2 linked regions of the Struthio camelus genome follow. The protein of the gene in region 2 purifies or fractionates together with the protein of the main gene of each other region. This does not show direct contact. Links are inferred from orthologs where the notes say so. Each region holds a gene or a part of one and is shown on either strand. Other genes may lie near its edges.

Evidence for each region.
Region 1: the proteins of RBBP4 (region 2) and SHPRH purify together in Homo sapiens (affinity purification with mass spectrometry; 4 studies listed by BioGRID and IntAct, with this or other methods). This does not show direct contact. The link is inferred for Struthio camelus from reciprocal best matches to the Homo sapiens genes RBBP4 and SHPRH.

What each region holds. Positions count from the first base shown.
Region 1 is NC_090944.1:83,859,043-83,862,788, reverse strand, and holds the start of SHPRH (E3 ubiquitin-protein ligase SHPRH), read right to left. Parts: upstream 2,752-3,746; 5' UTR 2,617-2,751; intron 2,160-2,616; 5' UTR 1,952-2,159; intron 711-1,951; 5' UTR 681-710; coding exon 42-680; intron 1-41. UniProt on the Homo sapiens protein: E3 ubiquitin-protein ligase involved in DNA repair.
Region 2 is NC_090964.1:8,465,957-8,469,702, reverse strand, and holds the start of RBBP4 (histone-binding protein RBBP4), read left to right. Parts: upstream 1-1,448; 5' UTR 1,449-1,606; coding exon 1,607-1,622; intron 1,623-1,799; exon of another isoform or gene 1,800-2,293; intron 2,294-2,705; coding exon 2,706-2,853; intron 2,854-3,576; coding exon 3,577-3,722; intron 3,723-3,746. UniProt on the Homo sapiens protein: Core histone-binding subunit that may target chromatin assembly factors, chromatin remodeling factors and histone deacetylases to their histone substrates in a manner that is regulated by nucleosomal DNA.

The DNA of each region.
Region 1 (3,746 bases), on a different chromosome or scaffold from region 2:
TAAATACATAACAATGAAAATTAAAACATACAAGCCAATACCTTTACAGTTTGAGCCTCTCTTTGTCTTTGATAAAGTCCAACTATCTTTTTCTTCTGCAGCCATCTCAAGCCTTCCAATATTTCACCACCTAAAGAGGGTTCCACCAAAATACTTTGTTCATAACCACTCAAGCATTCTTTTGTTTCGTTACTGTTCTCTTCTTCACTTCTTGCATGGACACAGATCTGCAGCTGATCAGAGTCTCCTCTCATCAAAGTAAAAGTCCTTTCATGGAATTCCTCAGTTAGACTTTGCTCAGGAGGAAGATGAAGAGCAAGTTCTCCCAGCAAAACTTTCCAGGAAGCATCCTCACGGTATGGCAAGATCATAATATTTAGCTGTACTGATACAGGAGTCAATACGGAGCACGAGTCTTCCTCGTCATTAGCTGTCAAAAATGTAACGGATTTTGAACTACTGTGCTCTTTTTGAACAAGGTCTTCATCAACACTGTCATCGTTTATAACAATGAAGGACGTGGAGGAAGTGCTTGGACCTGGAAGGTGGTCCTCATCAGTCATATCATCATCTAATGTTATCACCTCATTTCTCCGGTCTTCATGCATATTCCAGCAGAGCTGTTTCTTCTTCTCCTCATCTACTTTTGCCGGGGGTGCGCGTTTCCGACGACTACTCATTTTGTCCTTTCTCAACAGTGTTTCCAATCTCTGAGAGATCAACTCATACTAGTCAATGATAAATATTACAAAAATACCCACATTCAAATTTTACTGTGCAGTCACTGTGAAACTTGTAAAAGTTTTGGACATAGCCATCTATGCTAAAGAAATCTAAATGCTCAGTAGCCACTTAGTTTTACACAGTAATTTATGTGCCAATGCCAAAACATTAAATAAAGCTAGACACGGAGCATTTCTCTCATACTATATCTTACCGTTTTGTCCGATGGCTATAGACTGAGATCAACAAGAATGCTGCATTTCATAGGTGCTACTCAGAACAGATCTCCTGTTTCTGAGCAGTTCACAGGTGAGTGCCTTAAGCATTGGTCTCCAATGCCAGCCTGACCCTACAAACACTTGAGTATTTATACAAGTGAAACAACTCCAGTAGAGAGATTAATAGACAAAATGCACCTGGGTACTAACAGGTACACTCACAAATGAAGTCAGGTCAGGTCCACACTGTGGATGCAGAGTTTTTTTTACCTTATTTGTAGGTTTCTTTTATATTTTTTCTTAAGCTGTATTCATAGATAAACCCAATTATAATTCATCTAATACATTAAAAAAACGCAATTTTGGAAAATTTCACTAGAGCTGTAAAAGAAACTTTTCCAGAAAGAAAAGGAGAATTTTTTTTCCCAAAAATCTTTACTACGTTACATCTATCTAAAGTTAATAAAAACCATGTAACGTATGTTTGGAAGCCAGCATTCTTAGTGACAGCTGACATTTACCAGTCTCATAATTTTTCACCAAAAAAAAAGAGACTTTATAAACTCTATAAAAAGTTAAAAAAAACCATGTAGTTACAGTGGAGGATAACCTTACCAATTACTTCAAGAATTCACAAATCTTGCTATGTTTGAATTTCAAATATAACAGAATTAAGGAAAAGAAAACACCTCTGTTTCTCAAAACACCACTCGTGCATACTTAGCTGTTGCTAGTAAACACAGCAAATCCCAACAGCGAGCATAGATACTGTAAAATTGCACTTAAACCAAATAAAAAAAAATATATTCTTTCTACTAACCAGATCTGCACGTGCAGAGAATATAACTTTAAGGTATAAACTAGACAGACCCACTCTATTCAAGCAGATTCAAAACGCCACGGCCACGATCGTGTCCACCAGGTAAAGCAACAACCCTGCCAGCAGCAGCACGTGACAGCGCCTGTGCCGGCCTGGAGACTAGCACAGCGCACTCGGATGCTATCCTTACCTTCCGGGCCCGCGTAGCGGAGGCTCCTCAGCGGAGGAAAGCCGGCACACAGCGGGCAGGCCGGCGCTCCGCCCGCCGCTGCGCTCCCAGGGCTCGGCCAGGGCGCGCTCTCCCCAAGGCGAAAAGTTACGTGAAACTTGCAAAGGGCACCCGAAGTTTACTTCTCAGGAATCGATATTTTCTCTCCCGAGGTCTCCATCGCACCGAGCTACAAGGGAGATCAGACACACCGCGCTTTGCCCGCCCGCCGCCGCAACCGCTGGCCAGCGCTCACCCCCCCCCCCCACCCAAAGTTACCGCACACCCCGCGAGGCGTGCGGAGAGGCAAGAGATGAGAGCACGCCGGGAGCCAGGCCAAGCCGCCTGCCGCCCGCCCAGGCCGCCCGCTCGGCGGAGCGCGCCCGCCGCCCGAGCCCGGCACGGCCGCAGGACCACCCGCGGCCGGCCGGGGAAGGCCGCCCCGCCGCGCGCTGCAGCCAGCGGGTCAGGGGCCGAGCACTGCGAGGCGGCGCAGGGGCTGGCTGCCCATCGCCCTCCCGAGCTGGCCCGCCCCGCCGCGGCTCCTCCGAGCCCTGGAGGGGCGCAGAGCCGCCGCCGCCGCCGCCGCCAACCCTCGCTGCCAACGGCCGCCGCCGCGGGGTCGCCCCTCCCCTCCCCCAACGTACCTGGGTGACTCGGCGGCGCGCGCCGCCCCCGCCCAGGGCCGGCCGGCCGCCACGCGACGTCGGCGGAGCAGCCCCCCCGCGCAGCGCCCGTGGGGGTGGAGGGGCAGGGGGCGCGCGACCCCGCCGCCCAGAGCAAAGTGGGAAGGGCCCTCGCGCGGGGGGCGGGGGGGGAGGAGGAGGAGGAGGTGGAGGAGGGTGGGCACGCGGCTGCGCGCGCACCCGGCCCGGCCGGCCGGCGCCCAATCGGGTCTGAGGAAGGCGACAGTTCTCCCCGCCCCTACGCCAACGCAAGGAGGAGCGTGAGGGCGTGGCGGGGGGCGCACGCGCAGGCCGGCCCGCGCCGCCGCAGCGGAGCAAAGCGGGCGGGGACAAGCGGCTGTTTGCCCTCACTAGGGCGGGGGCGGGGCTGAAGGAGGAGCGGGAGCGAGGCGGCGGCGTCGGCGGCCTGGGCGGGGTGCGCATGCGCACGGGCACACCGGCCGCTGGGGCGGCCCCCGGCCTGCGGCCCGATGGCGGGAGCGGTGCGAGGCCCCGCGAAGTCCCGCCTTTTAGCCCGGTTTTCTCCAGGAAAACATTTTGACATAAGCCTGCTGTTTCGGGAGAGGGAATGCGCTTGGTTATAGCCATGAAAAATAAGGCTAAAAAATCCTCACGTTTCTTTTCTAATGTTGTTCCTTTATTTTCCACAGATAGTCATAAGAAGAATAGTGGATAAATCCCATTTAGGGGCAAAATAATGACAGGTTTTGTCACGAGCACTCGTGCCAGAAGCATTTGCATCGTTGCTTTAAAAGCTCTTTCATATTTGAAAACCATCAAGAGCAGAGGAGGTACTGTATTATTTCAATAGCCAATCACAGACTGAAAAGAATGAGCTGGAGAAATGATTTCCTCCGAGTAGCAGTGATGATGGAAATTTTGAGCCAATCCTTGAACCGAAATATATTTTCAAATAATAAAAAAAAGGCTATTAAACATGTGATTCATCAGCAATTTGCACTGCAAAAAAAGCAAAAAAAGTCCAATGAATTGTTGACTGCAATTGTCACTTGAATAGAAACTATGAAAACATGTATATTTTCCTGTGAAATAGGCAGATCCATACTTAGGGACTTAGAGAAACAGCCCTA
Region 2 (3,746 bases):
TTGTAATAATGAAAAATAATCAAACAGCAGTAAAATGGATTAAACTGTCACGCTTCACGTAACTTCTGCTCTTACTACATGTTACTGTTGAGCCTACTCAGCCCGCTAATGTGACACAGCAATCTGAAATATGCATTGCCTCCCAACCACAGGACGTGACAGGAGGAAAGATCTGTAGCCCTCAAGTATGACTTTTCTCTAGAAAAAAGCTTAATTACCTCTTAGGACAGGGACAGCATTTAAAGCTTCAATGCTGGCATCCACATGCATGGTAAATATGACTCTCATATAAGCACAGAGGTTTTCCTATATTCATTTGCTTGCAAAATTTGTCTTTTTTTTTTTTTTAAATAAAGAACTGTATCAATTCTCTGCTTAAAATTCTCAGACCAGACCCTGAGTTTCATACAAGTTTTTCATTTGTAAATCTATCAGACACAAACTTCATAATCGAATCAACTTCAGGCCCGTTAATTTCATTCAGACTAGACCTCTGCAAGTTTTCATACAAAGTGGTCATTCCTGCTCCTTCTTAATATTTTTGTGCACAGTAAGATTTTTTCACAGCTTCCCCAAATAATGGGAACGATAGATTTATAGAAGACACATAACACCACCAAGTCCCCCAATTTTCAGTGTAAGGGCCAACTTGCGGTTCTTATTGCCAGTCTTGGATATGACAAGATGGTACAGGCCTCCCAACTTCCATTTTCTGAGAAGCAACTAGGCCTATATGGGACAGAAAAGAGCTTGAAATTGGGAGGCTCGTGCTGCTCGGGGGGGGAACAAAACCAGGCGTGCGTACATTTTGATTTTAAACCTGTTCCTTGACTGTTGCCGGTCAGATCCACAACTGATCGTGCCAGGTTATCCGCGGCTAATCAGGCTTGGCTTATACACCGGTCTGGTTGTCTAATGGCCCGTCTCTGCAGGGATTTATGGGAAAAAAAAAAAAGGAAGTTATTAGTAATTATCGGCAATAAATAACCCAAGAGGGGGCAGGAGGATGCTCTGGAGGTTGCTGGGCCACCCGTTGGGGAGGAAGGGTTGTGCTGGGCCGGAACCCCCCACACAACGGTGCTCCCGGCACCGGTCCCGGGCCGGAGCCTCGCTCAGGAGCCGTCGGGGCCCGGTCGGCGGCGGGGGGGGGGGGTGAAGCGCTGGGGGGCGGCGGCGGCTCCGGTCTGCGTGCTGGCCCTTTAAGGGCTGAGCGAGGGGCGCGCTACACCCGCCCGCTTCCCCTCCGGAAAATGGCGGCTCCCACGGGAGCTTCAACAGCACCTTCCACTCCTCCCCCGCTTTCTCCCCGGCCCCCCTCCCACGTGACCGCCGAGCGCGCTCGCCTGCCCCTTGTCCCCGCCCCGTGCCGCGCGCGGATTGGCGGCCGCGGCCCGGCGGCCGGCGGCGATTGGCCGGCGTTGGCGCGCGAAGGGGTGCGCGGCGCCGGAGCGGCACGCAGCGGGGGCAGGAAACAATAGAGCCGCGGCCGGAGGGGTCGGAGCAGCGAGCCCGGCAGCCGGCCGCCCGCCTCGCCCAGCGCCGCCCGCCCGCCCCCGCCGCCGCGCGCGCGCACCGGAGCCGCCCCGCGCCCCCTCCCCGCCCCGCCATGGCGGACAAGGAAGGTAGGGCCCGGGGCGCGGCCTTCTCCCCTCAGGGCTCCGTGAGGCGCGGGGCAGCCCCCCCCCATCTCCCCCCCCCCAACAACGGCCGCCGGCCTGAGGGGAGCGCGCGAGGCGCGGCGGGGCCGCCAGGGGGCGCGCGGGGGCCACCGGGGCGTCCGCCCCCCCCCCCCCCCCCGCGCCGCGCCGTGAGGCGGGGGGGGGGGCCGCGCGGCCTCCGAGGCGGTGTCCCGGCCGCCGAGGTCTCTCCCCCCCCCCCTCCTCCAGCCGCTTGTCCCCGCGCCAGGCTGGGTGGCGTTTGAAGGAGGAGGGGACTCATTTACTTATTTTTATTTTATTTATGTATTTATTTATTTATTTCCCGAGGAGGGTGACAGCGTGCTGGGAGTCGAGCGGCCTGGTCGAAACGGAGCGGGCCCTCGGGAAGGTCTTTTTCGGCTTGTGCCCTGGGCGGGCCGCCGTGCCGTGCGCCTAGGGCAAACAAAGGGCCTGTCACGGCCCCCCCCAGCCGCGGTGCCTGGGTCCCCGCGGTTCGGGTGCCGCCTCTGCTCTTCAGCAGCGCAAACCGTAACCGAGCCAGACCAAAGGTCTGCTTAGACTTGCTTCGCTAGCAGAGGCTAGCAGCAGATGGTCGGGGAAACTGCGTGAGAGATACTAACGCAGAACGAGCCTTGGTAGGTTGCTAGACTTTGCGAATTGAGTAGGTCAAGGCTGCACCTGGACTGCTGTGTTTAACAATGGTTGCTGGACCTCCCCCCTTTACTCATCTTCTATGCACAAATCTTTGTTTCTGCAATATCCTGTGGCACGATATTCCATAATTTTGCTATGCTTCTTGTGTTAAGATGATGCAGTTTGACATAATCAAGGTTAGTTCAAAGCCGTATGTGTGGAAACAAAGATTATCGTGTGTAACGGAGGATTTTGAATGATTTAGTAACTACTCTAATAGAGTAGTGTACCAGCAAACCAGTGTGATGTTGTAGTTAGCTTGTTGTTTGATGTCCGCTCACAGGTTTGTGTGTATGTTTTGAACGTGTTCATAAAGGCTAACTTTATGCATTTAAAAAAAAACCCAAACTTTAGCAGCCTTTGATGATGCAGTGGAAGAACGTGTGATCAATGAAGAATATAAAATATGGAAAAAGAATACTCCCTTCTTATATGATCTGGTAATGACCCATGCTCTGGAATGGCCCAGCTTGACTGCTCAATGGCTTCCTGATGTAACGAGGTAAACTGGTCCTTTCATTTTTTTAAAGAGGAAGAGATAGGAGTAAATTTAGGATTGCTTGTTGTTCAAGTAAGACCGTATAGGATTGCTTTTGGTTTGAATCAGCTTTTTGCTCCCTTGCCTTACCAAGAGCAAGGTGAGGACTGAACACTGGAGAGAGAAGCAGTATAGGCATTTTTAATTTGGAAAAATGTCTTTATCATTGAGAAGGCACTTTCATTCATTTGATTTTTGGAGCTTTTCTTTTTCCAGCTTCACCCTACCCTTTAGAAGCAGAAAAACCCTCTCCACAAAAACAAGGGTGAACATAATTTCAGCACCAAAAGGCTGTGGACAACTTATCTTGTGCAGTATAACCATGGCGTTGTCCTAAGCTTCCAGACCAATGTTCTGCTTGCAGTTAATGTTCACATGCCTCAGAGTTTTACTATGGGAGCGTTGCAAATGCCTCTTAAAAGAAGGCAAGGGAATGGTGGGGATCTGTTTCTGATATTTAGAGATAGGGACTGTGCTATGAGACTTACAAGTTGAGATCTGTCTGGAGTTAGAGTAAGTGATCTTCCTCAGAAGGAAGAGGATTTGGAGCAGGGAGAGCAAGGGTAACTCTAAAAGGTGTTACTAGTGTTAGAAGCTGTAATCAACAAAAAAAAAATGTGTCGTAATAAGCTCAGTGTCTATGTAAACCCTTTCTTTTGTTTCTCATGTAATTCTCTTCTCTTCCAGACCTGAGGGCAAAGATTTCAGTATTCACCGATTAGTCCTGGGGACCCATACTTCAGATGAACAAAATCATCTTGTGATAGCTAGTGTGCAGTTGCCTAACGATGATGCACAGTTTGATGCTTCACACTATGATAGTGAGAAAGGAGGTAAGGGACAAGAGGTGCGAACCA